Linked DNA regions of Coturnix japonica. The protein of the gene in region 1 interacts with the protein of each later gene in a pairwise test. Links are inferred from orthologs where the notes say so. Each region holds a gene or a part of one and is shown in the gene's direction. Other genes may lie near its edges. The genes, in order: RALBP1, REPS1, TSFM, CEP57 and GSE1.

Region 1 (3,515 bases):
GGTACTGCTTAAAGGAGGTAAAAATATATCTAATTAGACCTGTTGTGATGGGGTGATGGTAAGTATGAATAAAATGTGCTGCATTGGCAAGCTTGTATTCTTTTTATTTGTATTACTTCTGCATGAGAAATGCTATTCTAGTTGATGGGAAAAGCAAGGATGAGAAATAACCATTTTACGACTTAAGCTTCTCACTGTTGCTTTTTACTGTGTATAATTTTCTTCTTTAAAAGCTTCTTTTGTTTGGGCAAAGTCACTAATAAGCAGAAAATGCAAGTTTCGCATTTAAGCTTAGCCACAGCAGGATAATTAACCACAGGAGTTGTGTAACACCTGCTTACATAAAGCAGCGTGGTTTGTAGCTGTGTTAAACAAAACAATCCCTTTGTGAACTCTTTGCAGTGAAACCCAAGCAAGTGTTTCAGTGTGCACGTTCAAGGGAGCAGAAACAAGTGAGAAAAGGAACTTGGGGGAAAGCACTCGGAACAAGTTATTAGCAGTGCTGCAGAGCAGTGATCAAACAATTGCTAACGTCTTCATTCAGCTGTCCTTATGCTGATGGTCTGCATGGTACTTGGTAGGGATGCTCAGCAGTTTCTTAGTCTCACCCGTGAGACCATTCTGGCAGTACATTATTTTCAGGGCAGGCTGAGTTGGGATGTTCACGGGAGGTTTGTTTTCCATAAGGTGTTTTTGATGTTTGTACCATCCAGGTGTTCTCCAGTGCAATAGCACCCTCTGGTGTGTGCGAGAGTACTTAAATTGAGGGCTCTGAATGACAACGGCCTAGCACTGTACCAGCACTTGTGATGAGTAACTTATTGGGACATGAAATAGAGCACATTTTAGCTGGCATTTACCGTGGGCTGGGTGCACCCAGCTTTGTTTATTGTACCAGAGCCAACATATGGCAGTGCAGTAAGTCACTGAAAGCCAAATGGGTGTTTGAGCTTTAAGAAAGAAACTTTTCTGACTTGAGGAAGATTTGAATGTCACTGAGTTGTAAAAACACTGTGCAAAAATACTGGCAAGTCTGAATAATTACATGAACACCTGTTTCACACACAGAATCACAGAATGACCCGGGTTGGAAGAGACCTCAAGGATCATGTAGTTCCAACCCCCCTGCCTGGCAGGGCCACCAAACATACACATTTACTAGATCAGGTTGCCCAGAGCCCTGTCCAACCTGGTCTTGAACACCTCCAAGGACGGGGCATCCACAACCTCCCTGGGCAGCCTGTTCCAGGGCCTAACCACTCTCCTAGTGAAGAACTTCCCCGTGTTTATTCATACATTGCCTCAAACCAAAATGCTGTGTGAGATTTCTCCAGCTGAAAACCTGAAAACTAAACTGTGTGGGCTTGGTTTCACAGAGGAAGGCTCACGTTTAGAATTTCTTGCACAGTATTGGAGTTGATAAGGACATACTTGCTGTTTGGTTGAGAGCTGTTATGGAACAACTTGGGAGAAATTAAATGGAGAGAAACAACAAGGGGAATCATCTTTTTACAAGGGTGAACAGTGATAGGACAAGGAGGAGTGGTTTTAAACTCAAAGAGTGAAGGCTTAGATTGGATGTCAGGCAGAAGCTCTGAGGTCAGTGCTTTTAAATACAGTGACCATGTTAATCCTGAGTTGCAGTTTTGTCACATGTGAATGATCTTTAAAAGCTATTCTTCAATTAGTTTAATTTGTAAGGAGAAGAGCTTCTCAAAGAAATAAATAAATAAGAGTATTACAACTATTATATATGTAGAGCTGAAAAATCATCTTAATTCTTTATTTAAATATTTTCAGGAATAAAGTCAAAAGTCGATGAGCTCAAAGCAGCCTATGACCGAGAAGAATCTCCCAACCTGGAAGAATATGAGCCCAATACAGTAGCCAGCTTGCTGAAGCAGTACCTACGTGAACTGCCTGAAAACTTGCTTACCAAAGAGCTAATGCCCCGCTTTGAAGATGCTTGTGGAAAGAGCACAGAAGCTGAGAAAGTCCAGGAGTGCCAGAGGCTGCTGAAAGAGCTGCCGGAGTGTAACCATCTCCTCATTTCTTGGCTCATTGTGCATATGGACCACGTTATCGCAAAGGAACTGGAAACAAAAATGAACATCCAGAATATTTCTATAGTGCTCAGCCCTACTGTCCAGGTATGTGCCTCACACAGGTGCTAGAGCAGAGTGTCAGCACAAGAAAGGTTTCTTCATAGGAGTTCTCTTGCATGTGTGAATCAGGCACTGTCTGATACAATTAAGCTGAATTAAATCTCTTCTTTATACTTTGAGAACATAAAATGCACAGAAAGTAGGGAGGGGGAAGACTTTCTGAAGGTGAGCTTGCATAGTATTAGTCTTGTATCTGCTGTTATGAAAACAGTGCAAAGATTGCTTACTGGGCTTTTTTATTCCGTGAGCACAAGTAATTCAACATTGAATTAATCTGCTAATTCAAGCGGATGTAGGATTTCTGTGTTTCTGATGCAGTGATGACTCAGTGAAGACTATTCTGTTGCTTAATTTTACTATCAAGCCACTGAACCCTGTACTGCAAACAGATCTTGCTGATGCAGTGATGACTTATGGCCTCAAGTTGTGCCAGGGCAAGTTTAGGTTGGATATTAGGAAGAACTTCTTTACAGAAGGGGTAGTTATGTACTGGAATAGGCTCCCCAGGAAGGTGGTTGAATCGCCATCCCTGGATGTGTTTAAGAGCCATTTGGATGTGGTGCTCAGGGATATGATTTAGCAGAGGGTTGTTAGAGTTAGGGTACTATGGTTAGGGTGCAGTTGGACTTGATAATCTTCAAGGTCTTTTCCAACCTGGGTAATTCTATGATTCTATGACTTGGGTATACAGAATTCCAATCCTTCTTTCAGGATGCGTTTTTAAATGTTAATGGAAGACATAGCATCTGAATAAATATTTGCTTCTGTCTCATTTTAAAGCAAGGAATACGATAACAGCTCCTTTCAAGCCATTTTTTTTTAAACTGTTTTGAATCTGAGAGAGAAGTTGGTGAAAATACTGAAGTTTTGGGAGAAGAGAGAAGGCAGCCCATCCATAGCACAGAATGTTTGGTGCTCCTGCTTACCTATTGCTACCACTTCCACCTTTGCATGAGCAAAAAGAAAGAGGTGGTCAGAGAGCTGGAGCACTTCCCCTATGAGGACAGGCTGAGAGAGTTGGGGCTCTTCAGCCTGGAGAAAAGAAGGCTCTGGGGGGACCTTACAGTGGCCTTCCAGTACCTGAAGGGGACCTACAGGAAAGTTGTGGAGGGGACATTTTATAAGGGCAGGTAGTAACAGGATGAGGGGAAATGGCTTTAAACTGGAAGAGAGTAGATTCAGACTAGATATTAGGAAGAAATTCTTTGCTGTGAGGATAGTGAGACACTGGAACAGGCTGTCCCATGAGGTTGTGGATGCCCCTCCTTGGAAGCATTGAAGGCCAGGCTGGATGTGGCCTTGAGCCACCTGGTTTAGAGGGAGGTGTCCCTGCCCATAGCAGGGGGTTGT
Region 2 (3,993 bases), on another chromosome or scaffold:
ATGCTGACCTAGTGAACACCTGGCATCATGGAAAAGCATAAATGAAAGACTGGCAGAACAGGAGATCTGGGTGAAGGGGTGAGCAAACTCATCCAACTGTGGTTCTTCGCCAGAGGGCAGTGAGCTGGAACAGGCTCCCCATATTGTAGATATCTAAATAATTTATCAGGACAGTATCTGTTATAAAGCAGATTTTATTCATTATCGCAATGGTGAGCATCCTGCAAGCAGGAGCATGAGCAGAAAACAGCATTACAGCTTTTATGTCATTACTTATCTTTTTCTCCCCTGGTTCCTCTTTGGCTGAGTATTTCAGGTTCACAATCGTCCCAGGTTTATATCCAGTACATACAGGTACTGGATAAAATTAAATTTCACAGAATCACAGAATGACCCGGGTTTGAAGGGACCTCAAGGATCATGTAGTTCCAACCCCCCTGCCTGGCAGGGCCACCAAACATACACATTTACTAGATCAGGTTGCCCAGGGCCCCGTCCAACCTGGTCTTGAACACCTCCAGGAGGGGAATCCACAACCTCCTGGGCAGCCATGTTCCAGGGCCTAACCACTTCTCCTAGTGAAGAACTTCCCCCTAACATCCAACCTAAATCTTCCCTCTTCAACTTAAAACATTTCCCCGTGGTCCTGCTATTGTCAGCCCTTTCAAAGAGTTTTACTTCCTTCCTGGGAGTAAGTTCCCTTCAGGTACTGAAAAGGCTGCAATGAGGTCACCCTGCAACACTTCTCTTCTCTAGGCTGAACATAACCCAACTCCCTCAGCACCGTCCTCATAGGGGAGGTGCTCCAGCCCCCCTGATCATCCTTTGGTGGCCCTCCTCTGGACCTGAAATTTTCTGGTAGCCCAAGCATATCACAGAATCACAGAATCACAGAATTGTAGGGGTTGAAGGACCTCTAGAGATCATGCGAGTCGCAACCCCCGCCAAAAGCGAGCTCCTACACCACATCACACAGGTAGGCGTCCAGGCAGGTCTTGGAATAATCTCCAGAGAAGGAGGCAAACCCACCACCATCCCTGGGCAGCCTGTTCCAGCGAATATATTGCTTATTGGTTAACTTCTCACATTTGCTCACTCAACACTCAGTCATTATTTCTGGAGCTCCACCTCCAGACGGAAGGTGGCGCTACCGGCGGCCCCCACATCCGGGCCTCGTGCCGCCCCCTCCCGCTCCGGGGCCGTCGCTTCCGCCGCCGCCGCTGGATGCGGGACGGCGGCAGCGCCGCGCGGAACCGGGGCGTAAGATGGAGGGCCTGACGCTGAGCGAGGCGGAGCAGCGCTACTACTGCGACCTCTTCTCCTACTGCGACACCGAGAGCACCAAGAAGGTGGCGTCCAACGGGCGCGTCTTGGAGCTCTTCCGCGCCGCGCAGCTGCCCAACGACGTGGTGATGCAGGTATAGCCGTGCCGGACCCCAGCCCGGGCACCGCCCCGCGCCTCATACCCGCGGTGGGGAGACGGCCTCGCTCCGCGCTGCCGCTCCTCCCCGCCGCCGCCTCGCCCGGCCCGGCCGCAGCCCACGCGGGGAGCGGAGCTTTTGTCCGGGCCGGCGGCGACCACCTGAGCCCGGGGAGGTGGAACGGAGAGGCTGTGGCGTGTGCCCTCGCGTAGGGCACCGCTGTTGGGTGCGTGGGGCCTGTGGGGCGGGATGGGGCTGCTGGTAACCTCCGGTACAGCGACTAGTGGGGTGTTGCTGTGTTTGAGGCCGTCCAGAGAACCCTGGAGTGCTTTGCTGTGTGGGAAGGGGCCGTCCTGCAGCGTGTGGATGGAGGGAGTATGGGTTTCTGCCGTTGGGTGTTAGTGAATCTAGTCTTGTTTCATCCCAAATCACACGGTTTTATGAGGGCTCGTGGCAGATACTGACTGTAGTTAACAAAATATTTCTAACGCTGGAAAATGCAGTGTTAAGAACGATGTAGCTCCATACTCACAATGTATATAAGATTTTTCACACTGCTTCCATGAGCAGATAACATCTAAAAGCTGGTAGTAGTAGGACGGAGCTACTGCTGTAGCAGAATCAGCTCCGATGTGCCTCTTGCGATCGCTTGAGGAAAGTATTCCCAGTGAATCATTCTCACCAACACCTGTTTGTAGCAGTTTCCTGCTTTTGGAGTTCCCAGTTCCATACTTATGTAGCTTTTTGAGCTACCTGGAAAGAACGCTTTTGGTAGAACTGTTTGGTAAAAGCCGTTCGTATCTTCTCTGCACTTACATCCTCTTCTTGGCTAGATGAGAGGCCCCTTCTAACAAAGCAACAGTTACTGTAGCCAGAAATATAGTACACAAATGTCAGCGTTCAGCACTTTATTACCAGATTCCAGGAGAATACTTATGCTTAACGAGGATTACTGATTTGTTCTGGGCTGGTAAGTGCAAGTGGGTTAGTTAAAAGGACTTCAGATGCCTTGAATCATGTGCTCCAGCTCAGTGGGAAAGGTGATTGTGTGCAGTGGTTGTTTTTAAATAGAAATAAAGGAGGAGAGGGCTGAATAAGGAAAACTTCTTACTGGTAAAACTAGTAATCTTTTATTTGATGACTTGTCAGACAGGACTGAATGGTTAGAGTCTGTGTGCTTGGTGTTTTGTGAATGAGCTTTCTCAAGGCCACCCACTGCTGCTTTTTGCATGTGGCCAGCACGTTTCAGAAGAATCATCCCGGGAAAGTGAGTGTTTACAAGTTTGTTCCATTTAAAAATCTCTTTTTCCATAAAACTTGCCTGTTTTATCTACACAGGGATCCGGACTAGTACTAGAGTTTGCTTTGTGTGAGCACTGGGTACAAGAACTTGGAGAGACTTGGAATTTTGAATGCAAGTGGCCACAGATTATGTCCTTATCTGTTGCAGAGTAGGTGAAGTATTTTCTGGCAAAGTAGAGCACAACTGAAGGAACAATAAACTACTCATTCATCATTCCATGGTTTCTAAATAAGCAAACTTAAGGAGCAGACCAAGCTTATCTCGGTGGAGATCGCAAGAAAAACCTTGCAGTTCAAATGGCAAAGGAGATGTTAGATTGCATGAGGTATGAAACTGTAAATAATACAAAGAAAGTCAAGATGCCCTTAGCAGTGTGACTCACTTCGGATGGCTTGTGCAATCGCTGTGGGTCACCTGTGAAGTACCTTGTATTTAAGGACAGACTCTAGTTGCGTAGCTCTTGGTCTCAGCAAAATATGCCTCTGCTTGATACCTGCACCGAAACATTGTATTTCCAAAGGAAATTGTATTTGCTGCTTAGAAGCTAAGAATGTAAAACTAAAACCTCCAAATGATAGAGCTCATGAAATAATGAGACAGTGTGATTGGATGTGGGATTTTCCTTTAACCATACAGTACTGTGCCCTTACCTGTTCATTTGAAGCACCTGATGTCTGTGACGGAAAGGAACTCAATTCAGTTTCTCAAACCTTATATAATCCTGGAATGCAGTTGTGGTAGTAGTCGTGTGAAATGCAAAACAGTGCAAAATTGCTGCTCTTCAAATTCACAGGCACCAGGTTGTCCTGAGGAGCTACCTGAGGTTTCGCTCTTCAGTCCTGTGGGTCTGTAAATAACCTCGGGATTGACTCTGTTGAAAATGAACATGTGTGACTTAATTGCATTTCTGGGCCCGTAACTTGTTTTGTTTCCAAGTCTGTTCTTTGGGGGTGAATGTACAAGCAATTTTTCCTGCAAAGGGTTATGTTTATTTTATATGTCTTACAGCATGAAAAGTTAGTAACTGCTCTTAATCAATTTCCTTGCCGGCTGTAAGGGTTCCCTCAGCTGCCTGGTAAAGGAGAAGGAATGAAGGCACAGAAGACTGAAACAGTTGCAGTTAATGTATATAAATCATACTCTCACAAGGCAACAAAAACTCTGAATGAAAAGCTGCACATGATACATAGTATATACCTAAAAAGGGGCAGCCTTAGCACTGCCACAGTGAGAATAGCACTACTTCACAGCAGTTAGTATTTGAATACT
Region 3 (4,019 bases), on another chromosome or scaffold:
GCGGCCGCGTCCTCCGCATCGCGCAGCACCACGGGCCGCGGCTCGGGATGGCGGCGGCTGTTTGGGACGGGGTGAGAGAAACGGGGGGAACCGGGACGGGGGGGGGGCTGAGGGTCCCCAAATACCCCCATCACTGTGACCCCCCCACACACACACACTGTGCCCCCCCCCCTATCACTGTGCCCCCCCCCATCACTGTGCCCCCCCCCGGCGCTGTGTCTGTGCCGCTTCTTCGAGGAGCAGCGCATGGATTTCAGCGGCCGAACCGTCATCGAGCTGGGAGCCGGGACCGGCATCGTGGGGATCCTGGCTGCGATGCTGGGTGAGAACATGGGGGGGGGGGGGCACGACCCCCAACGTGGGACCCCGACAAAGAGTCTGTGGGGCTGTGAATGGGGGCGGCATGGGGGGGGTTTGGGGTGGGGAGAGCTGAGCTGCCTTCCCCCCTTTCCCTCTTCCCTTTCCCTCTCCCCTCCTTCCCTTTCCCTCTCCCCTTTCCTCCCCCCTTTCCCTCCCCTCTCCCCCATAGGAGGTGATGTGACGCTCACCGACCTCCCCCTGGCCCTGGAGCAGCTCCGTACCAACACGGAGCTGAACGCAGCAGCGGTGGCAGCGTCTCGGGGCCGTGTCCGTGTCCAGGCGCTGCCGTGGGGCCGGGCGCTGGGCTCCATCCCGCACAGTTACGACGTGGTGTTGGGGGCCGATGTGGTTTATGACCCGCGTTGTTTCCCAGCGCTGCTGGACACGCTGCTGCAGCTCTGTGGGCCTCGGTCCGTCGCCTTCCTGAGCTGCGGGATGCGGCCGCAATTGGGCACCGCCGGGTTCTTCTGGGAGCTGCTGCCGGTGCATTTCTGTGTGCGGCTGCTGCGGCATCACAAGGACAGTGACGTGGGGCTGTACAGGGTGACACGGCGCAGGGACAGCAACGGCTGCAGCCCCATAGAACAGCACGGGGAGCAGGAGACCTGAGTGAGTGATGGGACACTGTGATGGCACCAGGGGCAGCACCAACATCATCAGCACCATCATAGACACCATCATAGGCACCAACATCAGCACCAATATCAGCACCAACAGCAGAACCAATATCAGCACCAGTATCAGCACCAACAGCAGCACCAGCACCGTCCCGTCCTGCAGTGATGGTGGATGATGGTGGATGATGGTGGATGATGGTGGGTGATGCTGGTGCTGGGGTGGGTTTATGGGCCTCATTGAAGTTAATGGGGCCGTGGGCTGGATTGAAGGCTGCTGAGGGCTCCCAGATCTATTCCATGTGCCCCAAACCCGCCCCATCTTGGGGCAGCGGGGCCGTTTTCTCGCCCTTTCTTTTGAATAAAGGGAATTTTGGTGTTTTTTAACCCGAATCTCGTGTTTTTGGGGCGCTTTAAGCTCCTCTAAAGGTCGCACTGCTCAAGCGCTGTACCGAAATGTCCATAGTCGGCATCCGTAGCGAGTGACGTCATTTGTTCGCGCCGCGTTGTGACGTCATAGCCTCGCGCCGCCTGCGGGCGTGAGAGAAGCGGGGATGCAGCGCGCGGTGTGGGTGAGCGGAACCGGGAGGGAGCGGGGACATCACGGGGTATAACGGGGTATAACGGGGCACAATGGGGCATAACGAGGCATAACGGGGCTTAATGGGGCCTGATGGGGTATAACGGGGCTCAGTGGGGCCTAACGGGGCCTAGTGAGGCCTAGTGTGGCCTGCTGGGCCCTACCCGTTCTTCCCGTTGCTCCCGTTCTCTCTCCCCCCTCAGGCCGGTTTCCGTTCCGCCGTTCGCTGTTTCTCCGCCGCCCGCCCGGCGCTACGGGCGGATAAAGACGCGCTGCTGCGGCTGCGGAAAAGCACCGGGCTGCCGTTCGGAGCGTGCGCGGAGGCGCTGCGGGACAGCGGGGGGGATGAACGGCAGGTACCGGAGAACGGGGGGACCCGGGGCGGGGCTCATCACCCCCAGCTGTTCCCGTTCACCCCCGTCTGTTCCCGTTCACCCCCGTCTGTTCCCGTTCTGTCCCGTTGTCCCCAGGCCGAGGCGCTGCTCCTGGTCCGGGCGCGGCGGGACGGGCGGCACCGGGCGGAGCAACTGCGGGAACGGGCGGCAAAGGACGGACTGATGGGAACCGTGGTACGGGGGAACTGCGGAGTCATGGTGGAGGTACGGCCGGGGGGGGATGGGGGTATATGGTTATATGGGGGGTTATATGGGGGTATATGATTCTATGGGGGGTTATATGGGGGTATATGGGGGTTATATGGTTCTATGGGGGGTGACATGGGGGGTACATGGTTCTATGGGGGGTTACATGGGGGATATATGGTTCTATGGGGGGTATATGGTTCTATGGGGGAGATGGGGTTCTATGGGGGGTATATGGGGGTATATGGTTCTATGGGGGTATGTGGTTCTGTGGGGGGTCATGGAGCTGTCACTGTGCTCATCCTGATCCCCCCCTTCTCCCCCCCCAGGTGAACTGTGAGACCGACTTTGTGGCCCGTAACGCCGCCTTCCAGCAGTTGGTTCGTGACGCCGCGTTGGGCGCCATGAGCAGCTGCCACAGCCCCGACCCCCCCACGGGATGCGTCAAGGTGGGACGAGCTCAGGGCATCACCACCCCATAGGGACCGGGGGGTTATGGGGGCTGTGGGGGTTATGGGGGCTGTGGGGGCTGTGGGGGTTATGGGGGCTGTGGGGGCTGTGAGTTGAGCCGCTCGGTCCCATCTGCCCCCCCGCCCCCTTTGTGTCCCCCCAGCGCTTCCTGAGCCCCGTGGAGCTCTCCCAGCTGCGGACGGAGCCGGGGGGGGCTCAGCTCAGTGAGCGCCTGGAGCTCACCATTGGTAAGGAGGCGTTTAATTTGTGTCCCCCCCCCGACCCCCTCATTGTCCCCCCCGTGTCCCCACGTCCCCTCATTCCCCCCCAGGCTCCATGGGTGAGAAGATGACCCTTCGCCGTGCCGCGTTCCTGGCTGTCCCCCCCGACTGCTTCATCGCCTCCTACACCCACGGCCCCCCCCCCGGGGAGCCCCCCCCGTCGCACTCGGTGCCAGCTCTGGGTCGCTATGGGGCGCTGGTCGCCTGCAGGGTGACGGAGCCGGGGGTCAGCCCCGATCCCGCTGCCGTGGGCAGGAAGGTGGCGCAGCACGTGGTGGGGATGGCGCCCACCAGCGTGGGAGACCCCGGGGATGGGGCGGGGGGGAGGAAGGAGGAGGAGGAGGAGGAGGAGGAGACGCGGCTGTTGGCACAGAGCTTCGTGCTGCAGCCCGCTGTGACAGTCGCCGAGTTCCTGCGGGCCCACGGGGTGACGGTGCTGGATTTTGTGCGGTTCCAGTGCGGGGAGGAGGAGCGGGACTGAGGGGGGGGGTCTGTGGGGCTGAGGGGGGGTTGGAGCTGTGGGGATGGATGGGGCAGAGCTGTGGGGATGAGAGGGGCAGAGCTGTGGGGCTGCCTTGTGCCCTGGGCTGAGCAGCGGATCCCTTTGTGGCTGCTCCCCCCCAATACAGCCTGCATTCACCCATCACTTTCTGCTCCGTTCTTTAATGCCATTTCTGCTCCCCACCCCCGGTTACAAACGCCCCTTGCTATGGGGCAGTGGGGGGGGGGCTTAGAGCCCCTCAGTGCGGCCTTTGGGGGGGTTTGTTGTTGGGTCCTCCCTGTGCTGCTGGGTGATGCCACTGGGGGGAGGGGGGGGACACATTTGGGGACCTCAGTGCCTATGGATGGGGCGGGGGCAGCAACGGGACAGAAGATAATGAGCATTAATGAGCGCAGTGCTGTAATTAGAGGAATGGAACGACTGTGTGGGTTGGGGATGGGGGGACACAGTGGGGATGTGATGGGGACACAGTGAGGGGGTATTGGGGACACGGGGGGTCACAAAGGGGGCAGGTCATCCCTGAGTGATTCTGGTCCCATTTGGGTCCCATTTTGGTGCTACTTTTGTGCTGTTCCAACCTCAGTGCTGATGTGGTGCCATCCCAGCTCCATCCCAGCTCCATCCCTGTGTTATTCTGGTCCCATTTGGGTC
Region 4 (3,515 bases), on another chromosome or scaffold:
CTCATACCTTTCCATTTCAGGTTGTTTGAGACTTAGTTCAGTGCTTACCTCTTGGTGATAGCTGAGGATTCTACGTTACCTGTGGGATATAACCATTCTGAGAGCTGAGCTTGGAAGGGGGATTTTGGAATACTATTTGATTGCAGGAAAGGAGAAAAATGCTTTGGGAATATCACTGAATTTCCACAGTGTTTCTGTCACTGAAGATGTAGTGAGACACGTTCTTGCTGCACAACTTGAGCTATACCCTCCAGCTAAAACAACTGACTGAGTGAATGCTTGGTCTATTTTTGTGCCAAAGCATTGGTTTGGCTTCCTGTCAGTCTTCAGCTCAAACAAAAGGTTTGCTTCTGCATTCGCATATTAAAGCTGTCATATGCAGCAGGTTAAACAGCAAACTTTGCCCATGTGGGAGTCAAGAACTGACACGCTGTCATGGGTGGACGATGTTAAGTTGCCTTTCCATTCTAATCTTCATTAAGTGACTGTATGGTCAAAAAAAATCCCTTATCTCAGAGTTCAGCCTCATAAATTACTCTTCCTGTAGGCTGCAACTTGAATTCAAATACCAATTCTGGAAGTAAAAGTGGAGAAATGATTTCTATTTAAAGCATAACCACTGCTCTGTTGCATTTATGCCTGTATAGGTGGCATTGCTTCAGTGATTTTTAGTTCTAAAGTCTTAACGTAGCAAGTTGAGCTGCTAAACTCCCGCTGAACCTCTCGGTATTGTGAGCTTCATAAAGAATTTGCTTTGCTAGTAATGCTTTTGTTTTCGTTCAACTTTGACTAGAAAAAAATGAAAGAGCTGGAACAGAAACTTCAGGAGGAAGAGCACGCGAGGAAGCTTGTCCAGGAAAAAGCAGCTGAGGTAACAGCAGGAGAATTGTGTTGTACTGCTCTGCGCTGTAAGGAGCTCTTCTTGATTTATCAGATCTCGACTACGTTTGCTGGTTATGTCTTCTCCATACAGAATGCAGGTTGCACCTTCACCCTTAGGTGTCTTCACCCCATCCTCTCACCTGATGTTCTGAGTGCCTTGGAAACCTTTTTCTCACAGCATCTGTGCGCTTAAGCCTTAATTTTTTTTCAATAAGAGAAGCTGGTTGGAAAAGTAATTCAGACTAATTTGTAGCTGAGGATGAATGAAGATCTATGCTTTAAATAGATCAATTAGTTAAGAAGTGTGTTCCCTTTATAACTGTAACTAGGAACACTGCATAAGGAGGCAAAGAAAGAGGCTGTGAGTCTGTAAGGAAGGACAATGGCCTCCTGTGGTCATTATGTACTCATCAGTTGTGTGTTGAATAAGTATTTTGGTAACATGGTGGGCTCTGTGACCTCTCCAGTAAGCGATAAGCTCAAGTCAATCATAAATGTTTTGTGATTGCTTGAGAGATGATTTCTAATGCCATAATAAGAAGGAACAGCAGAGCGTATATGCCACAAAATCAATGGAGGAGGGCTGGTCACTTGAATTCCTTATTATTTTATAAAGTATAAAACACAGCATCTGTTTTGATGCCTGCCTGCATGGGAGTTATTCAGTACAGCTCATTCTTTAACTTACTGGGATTAGCCATGAGAAGTGTTGTTGAAGGAAATGTTCTTATCTGGTGTTTAGATTTAAGCTGCAGGAGCATCTGCACACTTGCAGCCCTTGCTTTCGGAGAGCTTGTGTTTTAAAAGATGCTCTGTTACCAATCTGAGCACCTCCTGTCTGATAATCCATTATATGATTTTAATCATTTCTCTCATTCCCTTCATTGCAGCTTCAGACAGGCCTGGAAACCAACAGACTGTTGATTCAAGCAGCATCACCACTGCTTTCTCCAAAAGCAAGAAAACCCAGGAAGAAAACTAAGCAGCCAGAGAAGGTAATGGGGAAGAGAAGGGTGGGTACTGAGAAGTGAAATCGTGTGCATGCAGTCAGAAAGTAGGCTGCCTCTTATCAGAAAGCTGAGGCACAGTGGGTTTGCTGTAGTGTCATCTTTGATAAACGTTTCTCTCTTCTTTCCTTTCAGAAATGCTCTCTTACAAGCCATCTCACTACGCAGCCCCATTACAGACTGTGTCTGGGTGATGTACCCTTTGTAGCTGGGAAGGTGAGCTGCTGAATTCCAAGGCTTAATGCTCAGTAGCTGCAGCTCCTTAAATGGCTTTGGCACGGTGCACTCCTGACACCCAGTGGTCAGATCTTGTTTTCCTTGGCTCTTTTATCTTCAAAAAGCTTGTTAATCTGGTGTTTTCTAACACGGGTCTTTTGTGCTGCTTGCTGGTCAGGCTCTTCCTGTTATGTATATCCACTCAAAGAAAAAAAAATGTTGGTAGCAAATAAATTCTCATTTACGTTTTTCAGTAAGATGAGTAGGTTGATGACAATGTCACTTAAAAGAGGTATTTTCCTTCTAGTCTACCAGTCCCAGCCATTCAGTTGGTGCCAATGTACAACACGTCCTACACCTCATGAAACATCACACAAAAGCTTTGTGCAACAGTCGCGTGGTGAATGATGCTCCTCTAGCAAAGCCCATCAGTGCGGGTCATCCTGCCAGCAGAAGCAGAAAGGCACCTCTGTCCAATGACTGTTCTTCATCGCAGGAAGAGCTCTCAGAAGTTCTGCAGACTTTACAGGATGAGTTTGGGCAGATGAGTTTGTAAGTCTGATATATTTAATGCTGCAGACCACAGATGCACGTGCTTTATATTCTTCTTTTGAAGTCAGAAAGTTTTGCTGGGGGAAGCATTTATGTTGGGAAGTCTATGGCGTGTAATCTAGTTGTAGCTGCAGAGATTTTCATTTCTCATTGCAGTTACAGATTGAGTCTGGTAATCCGTTGGGACTCTGTATGTGTGTTTATGTGCAGCAGTGTTTATGTGCAGCAGTGTCGTGTTTTTGAGGGGTTGGGGGGAAGTGTGGTAACAGCCCCCAATGCAATGAACAAATATTCCATTGGAAGACAGCTTGACTAGCTCTCTTGCTCATCCTGGCTAACAGGCGATGAACTGTCTGCCAGCACAACAGCAGTAGAAGCAAATGTATAAAGTAGTACCTGAACAAGTGCTGAGTTCTTTTCCTTAAGGGGTCTTTCATTTAATTTTAAATGTGCATGTAGAAGTTGTTGGTTATGGACAACTTCACATTGCAGCAGCCTGCTGCCAGGATATGCAAACTCAATGAAGCTACTCACTACCATAAGTGTTCTTACTGGTTCACTATTGCATGCTGAATTTGTTAGGCTGCTACCATGGCTGTGTATGCCAGCACTGAGTCTATTGCAAGCTTTGATCTGCCTATATTTTATGTTAGTGATCACCAGCAGCTGTCTAAGCTTGTCCAGGAAGCTCCAACCGTTGCAGTAAGGGAAGATCTGGAGAGGGAACTGGAGGTGCTAGTGGGAAAGATGGAGGCAAAGGCAGACCAGATCAACAAAGTTCGAAGGCATTGGCTGCAGGTGAGTTACTTGCCTATGATCATACTTGTGCAAAGGTGCTCTTTATTTTTTTTACTGTAT
Region 5 (3,167 bases), on another chromosome or scaffold:
ACCATCTTCAACCTCACGCACATCAGCGCCGAAAAGAGGAAAGGTAACGCCATGCCCCGTGCTGGGGTGGGGGTCCCCGTCCCCGTGCCGCGGGGCTGCCTGGTGCCCGGCTGAGCAGAGGCTACACTAAACCTCAGCTTCCCATGCGGCAGACAAGGAGAAGCTGGTGGAGATGCTGCAGGCCATGAAGCAGAAGCCCACGCCGGCTGCTGTGGTGGTGAAGAGCTCTCCGCAGGACAGCCCCATTGGCCCCAATGCTGGTAAGCTCCTCCATTCCACTTTCCCTATTCACCTCCTGTGCCCAATTGGGCACCACTGTGCCAACACTTCTCCTTATCTACCCCAAGAGCCACCGCTGCTGCTGGACCCCGATAAGCCTGTGGGTATTGTCACCTCCGTGCCTGAGGTGCAGAAGCCATCGGAGCCGGGCAGAGTGGAGCCTCTGAGAGCTGCAGAGCTGCCCAGGGTGAAGGAACCAGCTGAGAAGCCCCGGTTGAGCGATGGGCACACGGGGAAGAAGGCACTGAGCATCCTCAGCTACGTCAGGGGCCCTCTGCCCAAGGACATCCCTGTGCCGCTGTCCCACAGCATGAATGGCAAAAGCAAACCTTGGGAGCCCTTCATTGCTGAGGAGTTTGCCCACCAGTTCCACGAGTCCGTGCTGCAGTCCACACAGAAGGCGTTGCAAAAGCACAAAGGTACCGAGCCGGGGCAGGGACCCCATGGGGATATAGGGAGGAAATCTGTGGGTTGGCACTGTGGGAAAAGGCATTTGTTAACCCCAGTCCCAGGGAATCCCTGGGAAGGATGATGGAGAGGCAAAAATGTGCTGGGAAAACACAGCACAGGCAGCAAAACTCATTTGTGGGGCTGAGAAAAGTCAGCAGGGAAGGGGGGCTGACACTCTGTGCCTGCAGGGGGGACGGCGGAGCAGAACCACAAACTGGACGCCTCCATCCACTACAACATCCCTGAGCTTCAGGCCTCCAGCCGCCCTCCTGCCCCACATAATGGCACGGCTGAAGGGCACAGGGCACTCGCCCCACCGCTGCCACGGGACCGCCGTGACTCGGCCTCTGAGGATGAGGAGGAGGAAGATGAGGAGGAAGATGAAGAGGAGTGCCCCAGGCCCAAGTGGCAAGGGATCGAGGCAATTTTTGAAGCTTACCAAGAACATATAGAAGGTAAGGACTGGGGAATGGGGCTTGGTGGGGTGTTAGCCACAGGGCCATGTCACCAAGCATCACGTCATGCCCTGCTGCCCCCAGGCTTTGACAGCCAGACCTTTCCCACCCTGCTGGCAAAGGGAGGAGGTTTTGTCCTGGGGCTGGCAGGGAGTGATGGCTTTCAGATGCTCACCCCATCCCTGTGCATTGCAGAACAAAACCTGGAGCGCCAAGTGCTGCAGACACAGTGCCGGCGGCTGGAGGCCCAGCACTACAGCCTGAGCCTGACAGCAGAGCAGCTTTCGCACAGCATGGCGGTGAGTGGGGCTTCTGGGGGGGCACCTGGACTCCGTATGGCACCCTGGCCTCCCAGAGAGGCACCCATCCTTCTGCAGGGTCCCCATTGTCCTCTAAGGTCCCCATCCTCCTGCAATACCCCCATCCTCTTGCATTAACCCCAAATCCTCCCTCCTGCAGCTCCCCATTCTTTTCAGTCTCCCCCATCCTCCTGCAGCACCCCCAAATCTTCACTCACTGCCCCCATCCCCTGCAACCTTCCCATTCTCTTGCACTGTCCCCATTGTCCTACAAACACCCCCATCCTCTGTAGTGCCTGATCCTCCTGCAACGGCCCCATACGCCTGCAGTGTCCCCATCCCCCTTCAATCCCCCCTATTCTCCTCCAATGGTCCCAGTCCTCATGCAGTCTCCCCATTATCCCCAGCCTTCTGCAATGTCCCCATCCTCCCCTAAGGTCCTCATTCTCCCCTAACATCCCCATCCTCCCCTAACGTCCCCAAATGTCCCCATCCTCCCCTAATGTCCCGATCCTCCTTAAGGTCCCCATCCTTCCTTAAGGTCCCCATCCTCCCCTAATGTCCCCATCTTTCCCTAACATCCCCATCCTCCCCTTAAGGTCCTCATTGTCCCCTAATATCCCCATCATCCCTTAAGGTTCCCATCCTCCCCTAATGTCCCCATCCTCCCCTAACGTCCCCAAATGTCCCCATCCTCCCCTAATGTTCCCATCCTCTTTTAGGTCCCCATCCTCCCTTAAGGTCCCCATCCTCCCTTAACATCCCCATCCTCCCCTAATGTCCCCTCCTCCCCTAATGTTCCCCTAAGGTCCCCATCCTCCTGCAGTTCCCCATTCCCCTCTATGTTCATCCCATCTATGTCCATCCCACCCCCTGCACCTCCCTGACCGTGTTCCCTTTTCTTTCCTCCCTACAGGAATTAAGGACCCAGAAGCAAAAGATCGTCTCAGAACGAGAGCGACTGCAAGCGGAGCTGGATCACCTGCGGAAGTGCCTTGCCTTGCCTGCAATGCAGTGGTCTAGGGGTTATTTCAAGGGGTATCCCAGGTGACGCTCCTTGGGCCGGGCCGAACATAATAGTCTAGAAATAATAATAATCTATTTTATTACCTTGAATATTTAATATTTTTCACTGGGGAGGTTTGAAGCTAAAAAAGAAAAAAAAAAAAAAAAAAGAAAAAAAAACGAAGAAGAAGAAAAAAAAAATAGAAGGAAAAAAAAAAAGAATAATAATAATAATAATAAATAATAATAATAATAAAAAAGAAAACGAAACAGAGAATGTGCCATGCATGAAGCAAAGGGCGGCAGGAAGGGGGGGGGGAGGAAGGAGGGGAAGGGGGGGGCTCTGACCTTGTGTCCTCCCCCCACCCTTCTGCCCCCCTCCCCACCCCCCCCAACACACACACACACTTTATATCGCTCATTTCTTGTTTTCTAAGTCCTGATGAAAGACTCCACCGCCCACAACACTAAGGCTGGAGGAGCCCTGCAGGGGGAGGGGGGCACCCCTTCCTTCTCATCCCACCCCCCACTTCCCATCACCCCCCCACCCCCCCCCAGCTTTGGGCTCCCCCAGCACCGCACTCGGCTATAACCAATAAAGTCCATGAACCCCTTGGAGCAGCGCTTCGTTCCTGGGGGGCACAGAGGGGGGAGAAGGGGTGGGGAGGGTCCCATCTTA

Evidence for each region.
Region 2: the proteins of RALBP1 (region 1) and REPS1 interact in binary tests that used the Homo sapiens proteins (3 or more experiments, as listed by UniProt). The link is inferred for Coturnix japonica from reciprocal best matches to the Homo sapiens genes RALBP1 and REPS1.
Region 3: the proteins of RALBP1 (region 1) and TSFM interact in binary tests that used the Homo sapiens proteins (3 or more experiments, as listed by UniProt). The two-hybrid records come from large-scale screens. The link is inferred for Coturnix japonica from reciprocal best matches to the Homo sapiens genes RALBP1 and TSFM.
Region 4: the proteins of RALBP1 (region 1) and CEP57 interact in binary tests that used the Homo sapiens proteins (3 or more experiments, as listed by UniProt). The two-hybrid records come from large-scale screens. The link is inferred for Coturnix japonica from reciprocal best matches to the Homo sapiens genes RALBP1 and CEP57.
Region 5: the proteins of RALBP1 (region 1) and GSE1 interact in binary tests that used the Homo sapiens proteins (3 or more experiments, as listed by UniProt). The link is inferred for Coturnix japonica from reciprocal best matches to the Homo sapiens genes RALBP1 and GSE1.

Annotation. Positions count from the first base shown.
Region 1 is NC_029517.1:88,793,201-88,796,715, reverse strand, and holds part of RALBP1 (ralA-binding protein 1), read left to right. Parts: intron 1-1,800; coding exon 1,801-2,150; intron 2,151-3,515. UniProt on the Homo sapiens protein: Multifunctional protein that functions as a downstream effector of RALA and RALB. As a GTPase-activating protein/GAP can inactivate CDC42 and RAC1 by stimulating their GTPase activity.
Region 2 is NC_029518.1:48,937,390-48,941,382, forward strand, and holds the start of REPS1 (ralBP1-associated Eps domain-containing protein 1), read left to right. Parts: upstream 1-1,182; 5' UTR 1,183-1,265; coding exon 1,266-1,418; intron 1,419-3,993. UniProt on the Homo sapiens protein: May coordinate the cellular actions of activated EGF receptors and Ral-GTPases.
Region 3 is NC_029544.1:1,424,712-1,428,730, reverse strand, and holds TSFM (elongation factor Ts, mitochondrial), read left to right. Parts: upstream 1-1,502; 5' UTR 1,503-1,528; coding exon 1,529-1,582; intron 1,583-1,757; coding exon 1,758-1,910; intron 1,911-2,024; coding exon 2,025-2,153; intron 2,154-2,464; coding exon 2,465-2,584; intron 2,585-2,748; coding exon 2,749-2,833; intron 2,834-2,916; coding exon 2,917-3,347; 3' UTR 3,348-3,513; downstream 3,514-4,019. Other genes in the region: EEF1AKMT3 (EEF1A lysine methyltransferase 3), read left to right, coding at 1-70, 210-322, 530-969. UniProt on the Homo sapiens protein: Associates with the EF-Tu.GDP complex and induces the exchange of GDP to GTP. It remains bound to the aminoacyl-tRNA.EF-Tu.GTP complex up to the GTP hydrolysis stage on the ribosome.
Region 4 is NC_029516.1:165,697,380-165,700,894, reverse strand, and holds part of CEP57 (centrosomal protein of 57 kDa), read left to right. Parts: intron 1-793; coding exon 794-871; intron 872-1,772; coding exon 1,773-1,877; intron 1,878-2,024; coding exon 2,025-2,105; intron 2,106-2,412; coding exon 2,413-2,657; intron 2,658-3,310; coding exon 3,311-3,455; intron 3,456-3,515. UniProt on the Homo sapiens protein: Centrosomal protein which may be required for microtubule attachment to centrosomes. May act by forming ring-like structures around microtubules. Mediates nuclear translocation and mitogenic activity of the internalized growth factor FGF2, but that of FGF1.
Region 5 is NC_029526.1:15,698,900-15,702,066, reverse strand, and holds the end of GSE1 (genetic suppressor element 1), read left to right. Parts: coding exon 1-43; intron 44-137; coding exon 138-260; intron 261-347; coding exon 348-698; intron 699-917; coding exon 918-1,184; intron 1,185-1,379; coding exon 1,380-1,483; intron 1,484-2,399; coding exon 2,400-2,534; 3' UTR 2,535-2,654; downstream 2,655-3,167.